Sus scrofa: one gene and its partner. The protein of the gene in region 2 interacts with the protein of the main gene of each other region in a biochemical or structural test. Links are inferred from orthologs where the notes say so. Each region holds a gene or a part of one and is shown on either strand. Other genes may lie near its edges.

Region 1 (6,133 bases), on a different chromosome or scaffold from region 2:
GGATCAAGCTGGGGTTGAGTCCCCGCCATCCTCAGCTCCTAGGCCAGGGTTCATTCGCCTCTCGGCCCCTGGTCAGGTGAAGGGATGGCTTTGGCCCCACTTGGTGACACTTCAAATCAGACAGCCCCCTATGCGGCAAGATCCGATGGCAAAGGAGGCAGGTGGTTGTCTAGAAGCTGAAAGGTGAGGGCAGGTGAAGAGGGAGGCCCTGGCCAGCTTACCCCAGGTCTGATGTCTCCTCTGGAGTCACTTCATAATTCCTTCAATAGAAAAAAGGCCCTACACTTGTCACAAGGCAACGGGAAGCTCAAAGAGCTAAATCCCTGGGGCCCCGTCACGCGGAAAAACCCCAGAGAAATGATGGACCCAGAACGTGTACCCAGATGAAAGGTGTTGAACAGAAAGGGGCCGGGGACCAATGAGGCAGGAGAAGGGGTACTGCGGGGGTGGGGGGGAGTGCAGGTCAGAGGTCAGAGCTCGGGCAAGCCCCTCCCACTAACACAAAGGCTGCTGCCCACCAGGCAGGCAGGAATGAGGGCAGGGCAGGCTAGGGTCTCTGGGCCCATAGCGCACCTTTCCATAAAAAACACCCGGTCTGAGATAATCCTCCTTATAGACATTCTGAGCTCCTCAGCCAGGGTCTCCTGAAAGTCAGGAAGCGCCTCCTAGGGTAGCAAGGGGGACATTACCAGAGGTGCCCCCCAGGACCCCCCCACCTGTACCTCCAAGCACAGGAAGGGACAGCAGATAGACACAAGTCACACAGAGGTAAGGGGCGGGCAGCCGGGGGGGGCCTCACCAGAGGTACAGTGTACGTGTAGTGGGTGACAGAGCCAGTGGACACGGGGGCTTGCTGGCGGAGTGTCCTCACCTCGTCCTGGGCCTCAATCAGCATGCCCCCACACTCTGAGTACTTCTCCCGAAGGTCCTGCAGCTGGGAACCGGCCCACAAGCTCTGCCCACTCTCTCCCCGGGGACTGGGGAGCCTGGGCCAAGAGGCAAGAGGCCCAGGCTCCAGACCCACCTAATGACACACAGGGGGACCCCACTCCACTCAGACTCTGATGAACTGCCACCTTCCAGGCCCTGTGCCAGAGACTGAGGGTACAGAAAGGACAGACCCCGTCGCTGCTGCAAAGAGCTTGTCCTCTCAGGAGTCAGGCGGCAGCCCAAGGGTCCCAGGTTCCCCGCCCCCGCCGGACTCTGAGCTGGGAACTCAGGGGAAGGCTCACCTCGTCCTGGAGCTGCATCTGGATTTCTTTCTCGGAAGCCAGCTGCTGCTGCAACTTCTCAGTCTCCACCCCATACTGGAAGGACCAAGACCAGTGAACCCCCACCCAGGCCTCCCACTCCCGGGCCCCGCCCCCCACTTCTGGCACGTCTCCCAGTGAGTCTTTGGCAGCTCTTTTTTTGGTTTAGGGCTGCACCTGCGGCATATGGAGGTTCCCAGGCTAGGGGTCGAACCAGAGCTACCGCTGCTGGCCTATGCCATGGCCACAGCAATGCAGGATCCGAGCCACATCTGCAACCTACACCACAGCTCACAGCAACACTGGATCCTGAATCCACTGAGCGAGGCCAGGGATTGAACCCATCTCCTCATGGATACTAGTCGGGTTCGTTACCACTGAGCCATGACGGGAACTCCTCTCTGGCCGCTCTTTAAAAAAAGAAGTCCCGCGGAATAAAGCCAAAGAAGGTGAGGGAGTCATGTGACCTGGTTCCTGGACCATCCCGTGTCCCTCTTTGGGCTCGGTCCCTGACTTGGGACGAGGGGACAGGACAAGGAGCTCTCTGAGGTCTCCTCCAACTCTGACACTGACCCAGAGAGGGGCCTTGGGCCTCTGAGCTGAGAGCGCCATGGGGTGGGGGCAGGGGGAAGGGGGCATGGCCCTGGCAAGAGGAGGGAGCCCCACACAAGCCCCAACGCACCGACCGGCAGCACTGCTGCAGCTTCACCACCTGGGCCCGCAGCTGGGCGACCTCCCTCTGCTGCTGCTCAAAGTTCTCCATCCGGAGCGCCAGCACCTCCGACAGCTCGGCCATCTGCTGGCTGGCCTCCGCTGGGGGGGAGGGCGGAGGTCAGCCCTGGCCCCCCAGGCCCTCAGCCTCCCAGACACCTCCATCGCCAGTGCCCCTCAGCTCCTGCCGAGTACCCAAGGTTCCGCAGAGCTTAGCATCCCTCACTCGAGTCTTCCTTCTTTTTCTTTTCTTTTTTTTTTTTTTTTTTTTTTTTGTCTTTTGTCTTTTTAGGGCCACACGCTCAGCATACGGATGCTCCCAGGCTGGGGTCAAATCAGAGCTACAGCTGCCGGCCTACACCACAGCCATACCCGATCCAAGCCATGTCGGCAACCTACAGATCCTTCACCCACCGAGCAAGGCCAGGGATCAAACTCGCATCCTCATGGATACTAGTCGGGTTCATTAACCACTGAGCCATGACGGGAACTCTGGGTCTTCAGTTTCAGTACACATTTCTGACTGACATAGGGTAAGCGAGTCAGCAAGACCAGCCCCAGCCCTCACTGAGCTCCAGACTCATGAGGAGACTCAGGGAAAAAGAATCACAGTCGTGCATATCACGGGCTGGGATGCAGCATGGCTAACGGGTGCAGCGGGGGCATTGATGCAGCAGCCAGGCTAGCCTGGCACAATCTGAGAAGCTAAGACTGCCACAGGGCAAATGGGGCTCACCAGGCAGAAGGGAAGGCAGGGTGTGGAGAGACCCAGAGGCAATTATGGGACATCAGGAGAGGGTGGCGGGGCAGTAGACAGGTTAGGGAGGCTGGGGCTTATTATGTGGACAGTGGGAAGTTTTTGAGGTGTTTAGGCAGGGGAGTGACATAAACAGATTTTTTTTTTTAGGGCCGCACTCGCAGCTTATGGAAGTTCCCAAGCTAGGGATTAAATTGGAGCTACAGCCACCGACCTACACCATAGCCGCAGCAACACCAGATCCAAGCCGAGTCTGCAAGCTACACCACAGCTCACAGCAAGGCCGGATCCCCAACCCACTGAGCAAGGCCAGAGATGAAACCCACATTCTCACGCATACTAGTTGGATTTCTTTCTGCTGCACCACGATGGGAATTCCCTGTTGTTTTTTTAAGACCCCACCTGAGGCATATGGAAGTTTCCAGGCTAAGGGTTGACTTTTTTTTTTTTTTTTTTTTTTTTTTTTGCTATTTCTTTGGGCCGCTCCTGCGGCATATGGAGGTTCCCAGGCTAGGGGTCGAATCCGAGCTGTAGCCACTGGCCTACGCCAGAGCCACAGCAACGCGGTATCCGAGCCTCGTCTGCAAACTACACCACAGCTCACGGCAACGCCGGATCGTTAACCCACTGAGCAAGGGCAGGGACCGAACCCGCAACCTCATGGTTCCTAGTCGGATTCGTTAACCACTGCGCCACGACGGGAACTCCTCCAGGCTAAGGGTTGAATCACAAGCTGCACCTGCAGGCCTATGCCACAGCCACAGCAACACTGAATCCGAACTCCATCCATGACCTACACTGCAGCTTGTGGTAACACCAGATCCTTAACCCACTGATCGAGGCAAGGGATGGAACCTGCATCCTCATGGACACTATGTCAGGTTCTTAACCCCACAGTGGGAACTCCCAGATCTGGTTTTACAAAATCCCTTTGGGCTGTGTGCAGAGGGCCTGGAATGGCAGGAGTGGAGGCAGAGAGAGCAGTTAAGAGGAGGCCTGGGCTAGAGGCAGCTGGGGTGGGCAAGAGGACAGAGACGTGAGCCTATCCTAGGAGGTAGAAGCAACAGAACGTGGGGACTCGCTCCGACTCCAGGGGCCTGGGACCAGGATTGGGGGGAGAGGGGCATTCAAGCAACCAGGGGCAGGGAAGGCAGATTTGGGGTGAGGGGAACAGCATGGGTTCAAGTGTTGCCATCTTGAGTCTGCATCTCCCCAGCTAGACCCCAGCTCCTCGGAGACAAATGCTGTGCCTCACTCATCTTCTTAAATTCCAGGCACAGCCTCTGTCTACTGTGTGACTCTGAACTGTCCCAGGCCCAGTGCCCAGGGTGCCTGGTCTCTAGCAGCCCCTCCCTCTCCCCAAAGAACAAAAGGAGATGGGCTTAGTGGAGCCCCCATGCATCTGTACAAAGCACTTCCTCAGCTGCCCCCCTGGAGAGGTCAGCAGGGCCAAGATCATTCATCCCCTTTCTAAAGATGAAGGTTCAGAAAGGTCAAGGAAATTGGCCAAGGTCACACAGCTAGGGAGTGCCAGAGCTGTGCCTTGAATTCCAAGTCTCCAGACTCATCCTGGGCTCTTCCCTCCATTCCCCAGGACAGCCCCCTATGCCAAGTTACAAGTTCACCTACAAAACTGCTCCACGCAGTCCAGAATGAGCATCTGCTCCTCCTCCTCAAGGTCGTCGAGCTGGGAGGCCTGGAGGGAGCGAGAGAGGAAGTGGCAGGGGAGTCAACACCCCGTGCTCACCAGCGCGCCCTCTTTCCCCATCCTCACCTCCTCTCGCAGCTGCTCGTTCTCCTCCTCCAGCAGCCTCAGCTGCTCCTGCAGGGCTTCCAGCTGCGGGCAGCAGTGCAACTCTGACTCTGCCAGAGGGGTCCTAGAGGAGGGAGCCATGGGAGTCAGGGTGCAAGGGCATGGGGCACCCAGTTCGCAGCCCACCCAGGGCTGCCTGCGGTGGTCGGGTACAAGGTGTCTCCATGGTGAACAAGAAAACCGGGGCTCAGAGAAGGGGTACCCAGATGCACCAGCAGGTCACGCACAGCTCCGAAGCTTTGTAGGAATGATCTCACCTCTGCTCTTCTTCTTCCTCCCCATCTTCCTCCTCCTCTTCTTCCTCTTCTTCTTCCTCCTCCTCTTCACCTTCCTCCTCCTCCTCCTCCTCCTCATCAGAATCCGAGTAAAGCTGGAGAAGGTCATCCCGCAGGCTCACCTGGTGCCTGAGATGTAAAATCTGGCCAGAGGAAGAAGAGCCTGGGGTCGGGGTGCAGACAGGGGCAGGCACAGATCCTGGCACAGTGAGATGGAGGCAGGCCTGAGATACGCCCCCTCCTGGTTCCTCCCCCCGGCGCCCTGGTACCTCCTCCCTGGCCGAGCCCAGCATGGCTTCCAGCTTGCTGTTCTCCTCCGTCAGAACACTGTTCTGTTTCACCAGGGACCGGCCAATGCGAGCTGCAGTGTTCAGGTCCCGTTCTCTCTGCAGAGGGACCCCCATCCATGGGGAAAACCTTCCTGGTTTCTGGGATCTCCCAGACAGGCGAGAGAGGCTAAGGAGTCCTCCGGGGTTAGAGGGGAGCTAGGCAACTAGGGGAAACCCTCTCTGGCCCCTGGTTCTCCAGGGTACTGGACCAGAGCCTGCGATGAACCCGCTGTAGGACCTGATTCAGTTTCCCTCGTGGGAAAAGATGGTCCCAAGCGCTCTTCCAGCCTGGACATCTCACATCTCCCTGTCTTGCCTAAGTGGGACCCCCAGCTTGGCCCTCAGGGAGGTATGGAAGCAGACAGACTCCTCCCTACCCGCCAAGATGGGATTAAAACAGGAGCCTGGGTAAGGCTCTGCCCTGGTCCCGGGTTGAGAAGGGAGCACACACCTCCTCTAGCAAATTCATCATCACTTTGACATCTTCTTGGGTGATCTTCTTGACTGGCAGGGGCTGGTCGGGACACAGTGCTGCAAGAGAAACGGGTCAGAAAACAGGGGGCATACGCCACCCCACAGTACTGTCTCCTGCCCTCAACAGCAAAGATCAGCAATGAGGGAGAAGACCCCTTTCTGCCCCCAATATCCTCTCCACGCCCCCAGTACTCAATACTCCCTTCCCTGCTTCCAGGGCCTTTTTTTTTTTTTTTTTTTTTTCTCGTGGAAGAGGCTGGATGAGGTAGGGAGATTACAGTTCTACAGTCCCTGGAACCTAGGAGAATGGAGGCAGCTAGCGGAAGTACAGCGCCTACTGACTCATCACCCCTAACCCAGAAGGCAGCCCTAGCCAGCTCACTGGAGCCTCATGGGTCATCAAAAACTGGCACAGTCACCCATCCGCACTTGTTGCGTGTAGTGAGGAGGAGACTTCTCCAGCACTGGAGTGGGGGACACCTGAGCCTCTAGACCCAACCCAGAGATCTCCAGCGACCCAAGAG
Region 2 (6,133 bases):
GTAAATTACCGAAGTACAGAGGTTTTCTCGTGGCCCTTGACAGCTTTCAGGGCCAGCTGAAGCTGGGAATTCCAGAAGCCACAGCCGTGCCGTCAGACACAGCCAGTGAGAGCTCTCCAGTGAGAGTGCCGGTTGAATGTGCGGCTTTATGGTGGATTTTGCCTTTCAGTCAAGCATTTCAGTCTTCTGCCTGTTAAATCCTCTGTGTCTGTCTTTCTTTTCTTTTTTTTTTTTGTCTTTTTTCTTTTTAGGGCCACATATGGAGGTTCCCAGGCTAGGGATCCAATTGGAGTTACAGCTACTGGCCTACACCACAGCCACAGCAACGTGGGATCTGAGCCTCGTCTGTGACCTGCACCACAGCTCACAGCAGCACTGGATCCTCAACCCCCTGAGTGAGGCCAGGGATTGAACCCGCACCCTCATGGTTCCTAGCTGGATTTGTTTCCGCTGTGCCATGATGGGAACTCCTAAATCCCCTGTTTCCATGTGCGCTTTATCGTGGCTCAGAACTAGATACCTGCGAGTGTATGGTGCCCGCACTCGTTCTCGTGGGCGGTATTTAAAGTGTCTGCTTTGGAACTGGGCCTGAGCAGTAACCATCTCCAGGGTTTGAAAAGAAGCCAGCTGCCGTCTCAGGAATGCTTTCAGAGCTTCCCTTGCTCCTTCTAGAAGACGCAGTCTGTCCAGCACCAAGTCGCTTGGTCCCCAGATGTCTGGAGAAGACGAGGACTCCGACGCGGCTTCCAGACTGGGAATGTGCAGTAGAGAAATCGTACGAAGAGGGGCCCTGATTCTCTTCTGTGATTACGTCGTAAGTTTGAAAGTGTGAGTGGTGGCGGCTTGAGGGCTGGGCCGCGGCCCATGTAGATGATGCTTCTAGAGACTGACCTGCACCGTCCCCTCCTTCAGAAGGGGAAACTGCAGTTAAAGCCGACTCCTGCTCTGATGCAGAAGCAGAAGCCAGGCGGGGTGTGCATGCTGGGGGTCGAGGCCTGTCCGCAGAAACTTCAGGCGGCTGTCCAGTGATTGCCCGCGTCCTGCCAGGTGCTGGGCACGCTTGCTGTCTCAGGGAAGCAGTAGCATAACAGTAATAACACAAAGAAGCCACACGTTTGGCTGAGTGGGGTTCTGATTTAAAAGTCTGTGGAAAAGGTATTTGATGTTAATTGTGTTTTAAAATAGATTCCTATTCAAATGCCATTCTTTTTTTTTGGTCTTTTTGCCATTTCTTGGGCCGCTCCCGTGGCATATGGAGGTTCCCAGGCTAGGGGTCAAATTGGAGCTGTAGCCACGGGCCTACGCCAGAGCCACAGCAACATGGGATCCAAGCCTCGTCTGCAACCTACACCACAGCTCACGGCAACACCGGATCCTTAACCCACTGAGTGAGGCCAGGGATCGAACCTGCAACCTCATGGTTCCTAGTCGGATTCGTTAACCACTGTGCCACGACGGGAACTCCTCAAATGCCATTCTTTTTTTTTAAAAAAATAAAACCTTTTGCGGAGCTTTTGACCATAAAACCAGCATCTCTTGTTTAACACAGAAAGTGTAAACCCACTAAGTCCACAAGAGGTGGAATCTAATTGTGTTACTCAGAGAGAGCCAGCCCACCATTTACCCTGTGGGGGGGACTCAGTGCTTTCTCCAGACTGCCGGGGACGCTGCCACCCCTTGGTGCAGACACGGGGCTGGGTTCGCCGCTGTCACGCCGCAGCGCGTCCAAGCAGTACACGTCGCCTGAGCTGCTTGTTGGGACAAAGATCTTGTTGCTCTGATAGCAGTTTATTGATACTCAACATTTCGCTTTACATGCTTGATGGGGACATGGTTTTCTGGTCTCATTCCACTTTTGAGAAACAATTTGATGTAATTAAATAATGCTGTTTCCACAGAAAAGCAAGAAAGTATTGACTTTACAAAAGTTAATCCTATCCAGTTATCCCATATGGAAAGGGTTGATCATTAACCAGAAAATTGGTCTCATTTTCCAGTTTCTGCCTAGGGTTATGTGTTGTGATGAAAAGGCAACCTGTGTAATTTTAAGTCTGTGTTTCTCAGCTCCTTACAAATCTGACGTGAGCCCCTGTCCCTGTTGCTGTGCCGCAGGGTCACACTTCCCAGGGGCCCGACTGAGCCACCTCGGCTGCAGAGCGCGGTTGGGGTGGGGGCCCTGTGAGGTCTGCTTCCACCTTGTGGGTTGTCGGAGCACAACCGCTAGGTATTTGCCGGGAGGGCCACCGCCTGGGATTTGTTTTGCCCTCCCACCACTTCGGCCTTTGCCCTGTCCCCTCCTCGTCTGCTGGAAAGTGTCTTTCCTTGCTGTCCGTGTCCTCAGTGCCAGAACCTGCATGACTCGGAGCACTTGACCTGGCTCATCGTGAACCACATTCAGGATCTCATCCACCTGTCGCACGAGCCGCCGGTGCAGGACTTCATCAGCGCCGTGCACCGCAACGCCGCAGCCAGCGGCCTTTTCATCCAGGCCATCCAGTCCCGCTGTGAGAACCTCTCCGCCGTAAGTCTCCCTGCTGCCGGCGGTCCTGCGCCTTGAAAGCCGAGGGTTGGCGTCTTTAACCCGCTCGTTTCCAGCCGACAGGTCACCCAGCTCTTGTCGTTTCTTCTCTCAAACCCCAGCCTACCACGCTGAAGAAAACCCTGCAGTGCCTGGAAGGGATCCACCTGAGCCAGTCGGGTGCCGTGCTGACGCTGTACGTGGACAAGCTTCTGCGCACGCCGTTCCGGGTGCTGGCCCGCATGGTCGACACCCTGGCTTGCCGCCGGGTGGAAATGCTTTTGGCCGCAAACTTACAGGTACTGAGAAAACAGGGGCATTGATTTGCATTGAAACGTAGCTGGGCGAGGGGAGCAGCTGTCTGGTTCTCCTCCGCAGCTCGGTCTTCACGCGTCCCCTGAGGGCAGTGGAAGGACCGGCCACTCCCCGTGTGTCAGGGGCCAGCGCTTCCTGGCCTCCTGGTCCGCCCGCGCGTGCGCGCCCTTTGTCTCGTGAAGGGGCACAGGGTACGGGCTCGCCTCTGCACGGCAGACCCTCTGACGTGTTCCTGTCTACTTTAGAGCAGCATGGCCCAGTTGCCCGTGGAGGAACTGACCCGAATCCAGGAATACCTTCAGAGCAGCGGCTTAGCTCAGAGGTAATGCTGGGCCCAGGTGCTGCCTGCTTTGGGATGAGAGCCTGTCACTTGTGAGGGAGCAGCCATAGGACGAGAGAGCCGTGTGCCGTGTGGACCGGCTCCTGCAGAAGGGCCCCAGGGAGCCTTCCCAAGTGACAGGCTTGGATCTCCCTGCACAGAAAGTGAAGAAGAGCTGGTAGGGTCACCTCCGTGGCGTTGGCACAGCCATGCTCGCACCCTGGGCTCTTTGAGCGTGAGGGGTCTTCTCGTGGTCTCTGTTCACTGTCCATGATGAGTGGGAGTTTTCAGCTTTATTTTAGCAAACTCAGAGCCTGTGATCTGATCACTAAGTAAGACGTGGCAGAGCTGAAAGGCGTTGGTTCCCCAGTGCTCGGCGTGCAGGAGTTATAGCGGCCTCTTTTTAAAATCTTACCTCGTCATCGCTATTTATCACCGGACTTTGTTTGCAAAGTCTCGTAGAGGCCTTTGTCAGAGGTCCTGACATGCATTACACGAGTGTATTTCCCTGAAGGCAACAGAAGTTTAGTTTTTACCTTCTTTTCCTCGACAGTGGGGAAAACGTGTGTGTGAGTCCAGTTTTTATGCTGTGACTCCATCTTCACAGTAGCCCGTGTTGGCTTCTTCAGTTGAGAAGGGCCGGGACGCGGTGGGCAGTGCGTGGTTTCCCGGGACCTGTGGGCACGCTGGGCGAGCTCTGTTGAGATTGGTACTGTGAGGCTGCCGTTCTCATACCGGATGGCGGGCGGCCAGACTGTTCTTATTTTTGACCCTGGACTCGGCATTCAGCCCAGAGGAGGAAGATTAAAGTAGTATGTGCCAGGCGAGGTGATGCTTTTATGGAATAAATGGAAATTGGCGTAAACCACACTGTTGGGAGATGAAGCGGGAAGTTTTGTGTCCTCGGCTCCTAGATGGTCTCCTTTGTGTTGATCAAGCATTAAGTCACTTTTACTGGCTGTTATGCCAGGTACGAGCTGCTGCAGTGTTGAATTGAAATTCCTGAGACTATTTATGGGACACAGCTGTGGCTTTTACAAGTAAACTGGGGCCGGAATTGGCATCATGACTTGTTTGCGTGCCAATGAGAAATAGGTCTGAACAGAAAGTTTCAGACGTGTCACGTTGGGCCGTAAGAAGCCGCCGCGACGCTTCTCTAACCCACGTGTGATTGGCTTCCAGACACCAAAGGCTCTCCTCCCTGCTGGACAGGCTGCGTCTCGCCACCGCCCCAGGCTCGCGTGGTCCCGCTCCTCGGGTCTCGTCCCACCCGCTGGACGGGGACGGGCCCCTGGCACTGGAGACAGTGAGTCCTGACAAAGTAAGTGCGGCCTGTCCACCTGCGACACACAGGCCCCTCGGGGCGCTGAGCACCTCTGTCTGCCTGCGGCAAAGCCCGAGCCTGCGGCGGGCGGCTCTGGCAGCAGGAGGTCCCGGCGCCGCGCAGCCCCTGCGGCGCTCAGCCTGCCCCGTTTCTTGCTGGCGATGGGCACAGTCACATCAGTGACAGGATCCGTGAGGTCCGGCCCTCGTTGTTAGCAGGGGCTGAGGGTCAGGGCAGTCAGTGGACACGCAGGAGGGGCAGCTGTGGCCTGCGCCCACTTGCCTGTCTCCTCTCCTGCCGACCTCCCTGTGCTGACCCCACCCCGAGGCCCTGGTTCTTACTGTTACCCTCACCATCCACACCGCGGGGCTGGGGGCCCCCTGGGGCCCTGGTGGGACCTTGGCGCTCTACTTTCCCGGGGAGCAGTCAACTGAGAGAACTTGGATCCCAAAACCCAGCAGTTCCCGGCGTAGATGAGCCACCTCTGGCTGCTCTTCTCAGGCCTGATGAATTCAGCACCTTTGCTGCACTGGCCTGGGGATGAGGAACAAAGCGGCCCCAGGAGAAGATGGGCAGCCTGCTGCCCGATAGGGCAGGACAGAGAGGAGGGCCCGCTCCCCTCGGTGCTTTGCTGAGTTTAAAGGCGAGTTGAGCATTCCCCCATCAGGCGAGGGGAGGAGAGGGTGTCCGGACGAGTAACAAGTCCAAAGACCCAGCCTTGGTAGCAGTTCTGGTGGCAAAGGCCTGTGTGGCCGTCAGCATGGCCGGAGTCCCATGTGTCCTCGGGTCTGGGCCACAGGCGAAGAAGCAGCACGTGTCCAGTGGACTCAAAACCCCCGGAAAGCCCTGCCCAGTTCCGTTCCGTAACACACCTTGTCTCGTCCCCAGGACTGGTACCTCCGTCTGGTGAAATCCCAGTGCTGGACTCGCTCAGACTCCGCGCTGCTGGAAGGGGCGGAGCTGGTGAGCCGGATCCCACCCGGCGACATGGGCGCCTTCCTGATGAACCCGGTAGGGGCGAGCGACGGGGTGCTGGGGGCCCTCTCCCTCCAGGCGTCCGCCTTTGAGGTGTTCTGTGGTCGCGTGACCTGCCGATGCCACGCACCGCTTAGGTTTGCGCCGTTACCCCAGTCCAGAAAGGACAGGACCCGATTTCAACCACAGTGCAGGCGCAGAGGAGGTCACCTTTTCACGCCCTCGAAGAAGATGGGTTCTCTTGGGTCGCGGTCACTTCTCATTGCTTGTCTCGTGCTCGCGAGAACGGGATTGGAATGCCCTCGCAGTGTGCGGTTGAGCTGGCGCTTTGCCGCTGCTCTGGAAGTTGGTAACCCCCTCCCTGCGTGGAGCGGGGTCCCCCCCACAGGCAGCGAGTCCCCTGGCGGTGCCTTCACCTGGTGTCCTGCAGGCAGGCCGTGCAGAGCAGCCGTGCCTGCACTCAGCCCCCTTTGTGGCCATCCAGCCACAGCCTTAGCAGCTGCCTTCTCAGGCCTCCTGGCACAAGCAGTCCTTAAACCCAGATGCTGAGATGCTGCCATGAAATAGACCAGGTGGGAGTGAGCAGGGCCTGGGGGGCTCGGAGAGTGTTTGGAAATGAGGCTGCGTTGAAAAAACAGAATTGGCCCAAAACCAGTTTGCTAAAATCATTGTAAGGGCCACT

Evidence for each region. The genes of interacting proteins can lie anywhere in the genome.
Region 1: the proteins of HTT (region 2) and HAP1 form a complex in vitro, tested with the Homo sapiens proteins (4 studies listed by BioGRID). The link is inferred for Sus scrofa from reciprocal best matches to the Homo sapiens genes HTT and HAP1.

Annotation. Positions count from the first base shown.
Region 1 is NC_010454.4:20,940,569-20,946,701, reverse strand, and holds part of HAP1 (huntingtin-associated protein 1), read right to left. Parts: coding exon of another isoform or gene 6,039-6,133; intron 5,667-6,038; coding exon 5,587-5,666; intron 5,193-5,586; coding exon 5,076-5,192; intron 4,950-5,075; coding exon 4,789-4,949; intron 4,596-4,788; coding exon 4,493-4,595; intron 4,415-4,492; coding exon 4,348-4,414; intron 2,064-4,347; coding exon 1,933-2,063; intron 1,308-1,932; coding exon 1,233-1,307; intron 935-1,232; coding exon 800-934; intron 666-799; coding exon 574-665; intron 261-573; coding exon 222-260; intron 1-221. UniProt on the Homo sapiens protein: Originally identified as neuronal protein that specifically associates with HTT/huntingtin and the binding is enhanced by an expanded polyglutamine repeat within HTT possibly affecting HAP1 interaction properties.
Region 2 is NC_010450.4:1,902,531-1,908,663, forward strand, and holds part of HTT (huntingtin), read left to right. Parts: intron 1-672; coding exon 673-814; intron 815-2,341; coding exon 2,342-2,521; intron 2,522-2,640; coding exon 2,641-2,817; intron 2,818-3,078; coding exon 3,079-3,155; intron 3,156-4,334; coding exon 4,335-4,473; intron 4,474-5,364; coding exon 5,365-5,487; intron 5,488-6,133.